2 linked regions of the Coturnix japonica genome follow. The protein of the gene in region 1 purifies or fractionates together with the protein of each later gene. This does not show direct contact. Links are inferred from orthologs where the notes say so. Each region holds a gene or a part of one and is shown on either strand. Other genes may lie near its edges.

The links.
Region 2: the proteins of NUP214 (region 1) and NUP88 purify together in Homo sapiens (affinity purification with mass spectrometry; 6 studies listed by BioGRID and IntAct, counting the BioPlex papers as one, with this or other methods). This does not show direct contact. The link is inferred for Coturnix japonica from reciprocal best matches to the Homo sapiens genes NUP214 and NUP88.

The regions. Positions count from the first base shown.
Region 1 is NC_029532.1:4,691,161-4,694,660, forward strand, and holds part of NUP214 (nuclear pore complex protein Nup214), read left to right. Parts: coding exon 1-26; intron 27-641; coding exon 642-824; intron 825-1,309; coding exon 1,310-1,395; intron 1,396-1,484; coding exon 1,485-1,568; intron 1,569-1,906; coding exon 1,907-2,155; intron 2,156-2,852; coding exon 2,853-3,014; intron 3,015-3,174; coding exon 3,175-3,283; intron 3,284-3,500. UniProt on the Homo sapiens protein: Part of the nuclear pore complex. Has a critical role in nucleocytoplasmic transport.
Region 2 is NC_029534.1:2,458,936-2,463,175, forward strand, and holds the start of NUP88 (nuclear pore complex protein Nup88), read left to right. Parts: upstream 1-1,440; 5' UTR 1,441-1,479; coding exon 1,480-1,704; intron 1,705-1,777; coding exon 1,778-1,947; intron 1,948-2,048; coding exon 2,049-2,174; intron 2,175-2,263; coding exon 2,264-2,350; intron 2,351-2,882; coding exon 2,883-3,059; intron 3,060-3,367; coding exon 3,368-3,551; intron 3,552-3,726; coding exon 3,727-3,877; intron 3,878-4,240. Other genes in the region: RPAIN (RPA-interacting protein), read right to left, coding at 117-231, 678-741, 993-1,136, 1,227-1,301. UniProt on the Homo sapiens protein: Component of nuclear pore complex.

The DNA.
Region 1 (3,500 bases):
CACCTGGAAAAGGAGAGAAAGCAGAAGTAAGTAACTGAAACTGGAATACAAGACTGTGAGGATCTTATCAACGAATCAGTCACTGCCTCTCATCAATAGACAAAACCCTTTTTCTGTTTAACAGTACAACCTTTTTTTTTTGTGGGGTTTATGAATAAAGTTTAACAAAGACAGGTAAGAAGAGAGCTGTAGGTTCAGATTACTGGGCTGTGGAAGTTTGTTACATTTTGCTACATCTCCTTGCCTGGTAAAGGAGTGCTTGTGATAGAAAAACCTGTAAAATAAGGTGTGTAGGGACTAAATGCATCCATTGGTGGAAGCCAATGAAACCTCCCAATCTTCTAGTAAATGAGCTAAACACATTTATAGCATACCCAAAGGAGAAACATGCATTTGAGACAAGCAGAATATTAGGGATATGATTTAACTGGGAAGTATTGGTGATGGTTGGACTGGATGATCTAGGTCTCTTCCAACCTTGATAATTCTGTGATTCTGCCTTTTGTGTTTAAAACAATCTTTGTTTGACTTCATGGGGTAGAACTGGCAGGATCTACCAAACCACTTTGTATGTTCATGCCTGCTTGTAGCCAGATCTGTAGAACCATTTTGATCTGTGTTTCTTGGTCTTATGTCTCAAGGCGTCTGGTTGTTCCTGAACGAGAGACTTTGTTTAACACCCTTGCTAATAACCGGGAAATAATCATTCAGCAGAAGAAGAGACTACATCATTTGGTGAACAGCCTACAGCAGCTCCGACTGTATAATCAGACATCTCAGTGGAGTGTTCCCAGTGATACATCCCCTCTTAGCAATGCTCAAAGGTATGTGAAATGCAAGTTCCTGAGTGGTGTTGCCACTGCTTTCTTGCCCTGAGCAGTATTCAGATGTGTGTCCACCGAGAAATGATTGTGGATGTGATGTGTGAGAACAGTACATCCTAGAAATGATACAAAACTATGCCCAGGTAATGCAGAAGCTCGCTTGTATTTGTGTGATACGTTAACACTCATCACAAATTCCCCCTTGAAAGTTTTATTTTTTTATAATAGCATAATCAGGATAATTGAACCATTGAACCTCTGGACAGAGGTACTGCTGTTTGTCTGAATTCAGGGGAAGAAGTGAATAACTTAAGAATTTCCAAAGTAAATCAAGATACGTACATATAAATAGCATGGTATCTAGAGGAGCCAGCTGTTCTTCCTGATAAGTTAGTACTTCTAGTGATTCATTTTGGCCTGTTTTTGTTCTTAATTTGTTTGATTTCTTTCTGCTGATCCTGTTTAATTGTTTTGCTGTGTCACAGTTTTGACAGTGACCTTGAAAGCCTGCGCAATGCCTTGATGAAAACTACCTTGGAATCACGCGTCAAACCCCCACCTAAAGTACCTGGTAATGTATTCTTCCTTCCTGGTGTTCACATGTAAATGTTAACGTTGTTAATGTTGGTATAGACTTAATAACTCTCTTCTGTTTTCCAGCTAAATTGCCCCCTGTGAAACTGACACAGTTGAGGAATTTTCTATCCAAGAGGAAGACTCCACCAGTTAGGTCTACGGCTCCAGGTAAACCTTTAGCTATGTTAAAAGTCCAGAATGCTTTGTAAGAGGGTGAGTTACCTCCTGTGGGAACCAATCCTGAAATTAGCTTAGAGCAGCTTCTCGTAGCCTCTGCCCTTACTTCACCCTTGCTGCTCCCTCATCTGCCCTGAGTAAGAATTTACTTCAGTTACAATCTTACCAAAAGTTGCCTTTGCTGGCAGTTAGGAAGTCGTATCCTAGCAATGTAGGATTAAAGCAAGCCAGTTAGAAGAGCATCCTAAAATAGGATGTATGTCTTAGCTGTTAGGATGGATGACTCTCTCACCTTAGTGTACACGTGTCTTTTATTTCTGTTGTTGTAGCAAATTTGTCCCGATCTGCCTTCTTGTCCACAAGATACTATGAAGATTTGGATGAAGTAAGTTCAACATCCTCAGTTTCCCAGTCCCTGGAGAATGAGGATCTGCAGGCAGCAGACCAGGAAGAGGAGGCTGCTCCTGTTCAAGTCCCTCGTCATGCCCCTGTGGTCCGCACTCCATCTATCCAGCCTGGTTTGGTGCCTCAGCCTCCATCCTTTGGGAAACAACACCCCTCCTTGGGTGGTACTCTATGTGAGTTATTTTGCAGTGTTTCTGCTATTCTGCATGTATTCCTGTCAGTGTCTTTTACCACTGTATAAATTGCTGCTGCTTCAAATCCTGGAGAAATGAGTTTGCAGCAGGGAGATTTACACTGCCAAATTCCCAGAAGCAGTTAGCAGAGTGGCACTGTAAGCTTGGGAATACACTGAAGTACCTAAATGCACTAAAGGACCTTGACTCACTGCATTTTGACTGCTTGTTACTTATAGATCATACTGACCATAGATGGCACTGTCTTCCTTTAGTAATTTGTCTTATTTTTTTAAAATGCTGCCCCTCAAAACAGAAGGCTGAAGTACTTCTGCATTTGATGAGTGTGCACAAGGTTAGGACTTCTGAGCCCCAAAACAGTAAGAACTAAATGTGCATATACTCAGATTTCCTTGTCTGCAGTCAGAGAACTCGAACCCCAAAATGAAAAGTAAGCTGTCAGTAGAAGTGACTACAGCAACAAACTGAAAGTCATCTGGTGCACTGAAATAACAACTACTGCAATGTACATGCTGAATTCATTGAGGTACTCAAACTGTCTGTGCTAGAAAAGTGTCAGCTGTCTTATCAGATGGAAGCTGTGAAATCACAGGAACTGTAGTTTGCAAAGGATTTCAAGTTTTCCTGATTTTAATGGATACAGTGAACTGTAATATTTTTTTTGTTTCCTGTTTAGTGCCTACGTCTTCAAACAGAATCATCCCACAAGGGGCAGACAGCACAATGCTTGCAACAAAGACTGTGAAACATGGGGCCCCTGCTCCCACTGTCACTGTTCCAGCACCACAGGCAGCTGCTGCAGCAGCTCTGCGAAGGCAGATGGCCACCCAGTCCCCAGGTAAAAGGATGGCTGATTGCTCAAGTCACCCTTGACTGGGCAAATAGAAACTTACATGGATTTCTTTTGGAGTTACTCGGAGACACCATATTGATTGCAGTATTTAATATGGGGAAGGTATTTACCACATTTATTTATTTATTTATTTATTTTCTTAAAGCTGTGAGCACCTCCTTGACTGAATCAACTCTGAAGAATGTTCCCCAGGTGGTGAATGTACGAGAACTCAAGACAGGTGCTTTGACTCCAGCTGTCTCTACAGTAATAGGGTGAGTGGGATCACCCTTTTTTTGATGGTAGCCTTCGCTAGTGCTTGCAATAGGGCGCATCTACCAGTGTGTAGAGCAGTAGTCTGATATAATGTCAGTGGTGAGTGTGTTTAGAAGTGTGTCATGAGTTTGTGGGATGAATAGAAAATATGTTTTCTTTCCAGATCAGGATAAGCTGTTAGTAAATCCTTGAATGAACAGACAAAACCAATATTAT
Region 2 (4,240 bases), on another chromosome or scaffold:
AGAGCCCTGACAACGAGAGCTCTGCTCTTCCAGCTGCTTGAAATCCACTCTCTTTGTTTGCTGTTTTGCCCAGTTCTAAACCCAAACTGCTGCAGTGTGGAGGATCTCATTCTTACTTTCTGCACACTGGGCAGATGATTCTGTTGCTGGCATCCAAGCCATCGAGGATTGCATTGAGGCATTCTTCATCAAACCGCAGACTTCGCTCGTACTCTTCTATAACCAATTGTTCTGGGGGCGGGGGGGCAAAAAAAGACCAACAAAAACCAAAACAGAACAGCAACAAAACAGACACCTGTTAACGACTTCAATGCTGATACACATGGAGCTGCTGTGGGGATGCAGGTTGGGGCAGCCCCTTATTGCTGAGATTCTTATTTCCAATCAGATTTCTGTGCTTAAGAAAATCATCACTATTAACCCGCTTCTTCCTACAGCCTTCATGCAGCCTCAGGGGGGTGACTGTAAGTCTTCCCAGCCAACAATTCAGTGTTCTGAGTTTATTGATGTGGGCTCCTACAACTCTCAAGCAGTGCTGCCTTGTGTAGCTCCATATAGAGCTTAAGATGCCACTTAAACTCCTGGAGCTCTCAGGATGCTCTCAGTGCATCAGAGGCTGCAGAGATCAGGCTGTTTTCCCTGCTATCATGTAGCAACCAGGGGACGCACTGAGTTACCTTGCAGGATCAGCTCCTGCTCGATCTCATCCAGCACCGCCAGCTCGTCCGGGTCCTCCGGCATCTGAAAGTCACCGTGTTGTGTTGGGACAGTGTGACAAGAGGCACCACAGCTCGTTCTGCTGCTTGTTAACACACAGAGGTGCTCTGTAAAGGCACCCAGCACCCAGAGCACAGCACACAACACACAACACAACACACAACACACATCACAACACACAACACAACACACAGCACCCAGCACAGCCCGGCCGAGGTTCGGCCTTTAATTCCCATCCCCCCCTATACAACATCCCTCCGGCCGCTCGTACCGACCTGCTGCCGCTCCCCGTTCCCTCTCATGTTCCTCCACTCTCCCTCCATCACCTCCGGTACCAGCAGCGCCCCGGGGCCGGGCCCGGCCTGTCGGTACCGTGTCAGCAGCCGCTCCCTGCTGCTCCTCAGCCGCTCCAGGCAGCGCTGCGGGGAACGACACCATGTCAGGGCCGGTCGGTCTCACCGTCTGTGTCTGTCCGTGTCTGTGTCTGTCTGTCTGTCTCCATCTCTCACCCTCCGGTACGTTTCCTTCCATGGCGGCACGTTCGTTCCCTTGTACAACGCGCGGTGTCTGCACGGCGCCTCCATCGCCGACACCACGTGACCGCGGCACGGGGCGCGCCGGGAAACGTAGTCCTAGAGCACAGCGGAAGAGCGGCGGGGTGGCGTCACTGTGACGTCACTCAGGTTGGCGCGGCGTCGCCGTGACGTCACTCCGCTCGCCGCCGCCGATTGGCTGCCGGTCCGTGGCGGTGGCGGGGCAGCCATGGCGGCGTGTTGCGGTGCGGAGCAGTGGCGCTCGGTGCTGCCGCTTCACGCCGTGTTCGGCCGCCTCCGTCACGCCGAGCCCGGCCCCGCCCCGCGCTGCCCGCTCAGTTTGTTGCTGGGCCTGGACGGAGACCTGCTGCTGTGGGACGGGGAGCGCGGGGCGCTGCTCAACGTCCAACTGCGGCGGCTGAGCGGGGCCGAACCGGAGCTGGGCCGGTACCAGGTGAGCGGAGCGGGGGCTGCGGGACGGGCCGAGCTCCGAGCCCCGCTCTGAGCCCCGCTGTGTGTCCCGGCAGACGCTGCTGTGCATCAACCCGCCGCTGTTCGACGTGTATCAGACGCTGCTCAGCCCCGCGCGGCGCCATGTGGCGCTTATCGGCACCAAGGGGCTCTCGGCCGTGGAGCTGCCCGAGCGCTGGGGCAAAAACAACGAGTTCGAGGGTGGGAAGGACACGGTGAACTGCAGGTGGGGGCTGAGATCCGCTCCTGCTGCCCCCACATCCCCCCCGTCCCTTTGGAAGCTCCGCCGTCCGTGCGGTCACAGCCGCCGTCCCCGCTCTGTTCCAGCACCGTCCCGGTCGCAGAACGGTTCTTCACCAGTTCCACGTCGCTGACCCTGAAACACGCGGCCTGGTATCCCTGCGAGACAATGGAGCCCCACGTCGTGCTGCTGACTTCGGATAACACCATCAGGTAACGCTGCGTCGTGATTATCATGAGGGAAACTGCAGATTGGCAGCAGCTGGTGCTGACCGACCATCATTGCTGCTGCTTCCATCCAGGATCTACAGCCTGAAGGTGCCCCAGACCCCCATCAAGGTGATCCCGCTGTCAGACGCTGAGGAGGAGACTCTGATCATCAACAAAGGGTTTGTGCGGCTCCTTTTGCAACGCTCTGAGCATCTCAGAGTTCTGTGTTCTCAGTCACATCCTTAACCAGTCACAGAGCCCCCAGCAGGGATTTAAACACGACTTACTGCTCACACCTCTGTGCTGGGGCTGCTTCCTGCCACAGAACCAAGTGCTGTATGTTCCCTAAAGGAAAGAGGGAACAGACTGCACAGCCCGGTGTTCTTCAGAACAGTTATTTGAACAACACACGCTATCTTTAAGAAGGTTTCATTAGGGCTTTTTTGAGCAGGGAATGCATTGAAATATGTTATCTTTATTTCCTCCTTCACCTGATTGGAAAGGAGAAACTTGAGGGTTTCTACTGGATGAGTCACTGTACTACACAGTAAATCCTACGTGCCCTCCTCCTTACCCTGTGAAACTCAGCTGACTTCAGAAACAAGGCCCTGGAGGGAGGATGTTACCTGAACATTTTTGTTGCTGAAACATAGTGTTTATCAAAGGGCTGATGGTGTAATTTGACTCAGTTTTGTTCCTGCTTATCCCTAGGAGAGCCTACACAGCGTCGCTGGGAGAGACCGCGGTGGCGTTTGACTTCGGCCCGCTGGTGCCAGTCCCAGTGAGCATCCTTGGGCAGCGAGGCAGTGAAGAAGTGCTGGCTTATCCACTTTACATTCTATATGAAAATGGAGAGACATTCCTCACCTATATCAACCTGCTGCAGAGGTGGGTTTGTGTTCATCCTCAAGTTTCATAGGGTCTTTGTATGTTTGGTTTCCAGAGCCATCTCTTTGCCTCGCTTGGATTCTGTTAAGGATGCTGGGCTGGTTTGTATTATAATGTATCTCTTTGTGATAGTGCTAGGAGACTTAAATCCAAGAATAACATGTTAGAACTCCAAACCGCAGTGTTTGATGCTTTCGTTGGCTGTTTTTTAGTCACCCTCATTCTCTAGTTATCAGTAAACTCCTGCAGGCAGCCATGGGAACTCTGCTCCTACGCTTTGTGTTGTGAATGCATCCTCCCTATTCCAGTGCTGGAAATCTTGGCAAGCTGCTTGGCCCTCTGCCCATGCACCCTGCTGCAGAAGACAATTATGGCTACGATGCCTGTGCTGTCCTGTGCCTGCCTTGTATTCCAAATATCCTGGTGATTGCCACTGAATCGGGCGTGCTTTATCACTGCGTGGTGCTGGATGCAGAGGAGGATGAGGAGCAGGTACCTTGTCTTGTTATTTCTGTGAACGTTTTTGTTTCTTCTGTGAAAGTTCCTGCCTTCAAGATCTCAGGATGGCTCAAAGGGAATGCATACCTCTATTATGTAACTCAGTGTTATTTACACTAGTATTTCTATTTAAATGATGTCTCATTGAAGAATTCAATGCTGTTTACAGTCAGAAAAATCGTGGGACCCAAGATCCGATCTTGTTCCTTCCCTGTATGTGTTTGAATGTGTTGAGCTGGAACTTGCACTGAAATTGGCATCAGGAGATGAGGAAGAGCCTTTGGAGTCTGATTTTTCTTGCCCAATCAAACTGCATCAAGGTAGGGTTGTGTAGCTCAGGTTGTTGTCTTTTATTTCCTTGAATTTAGGATCAAGTTATTTAAGAATTATTATCATCTCAAATCAATTATTACCATCTGGGTAGCGATGCTGAGAGGTGTTGGTGCCTGTTTATCAGCCTGTCAGCTGGTGCTGTTGTAGGGCAGGAGGATGGGAAGGACAAGGAAACTGGTCTGCTGGCATTAACTGCTGGTCTTCCCTTGAAGCCTACTGGATAGAGACAGATATTGTATAATGCAAGTAATTCTAATTAATTCCCAAAGAGTGTATTAACAGATGCTGAAATTGTACTTGATTTACATGCAGAATTCAAGTGCAAAATGCACACAGCTCAGACCTTGAAC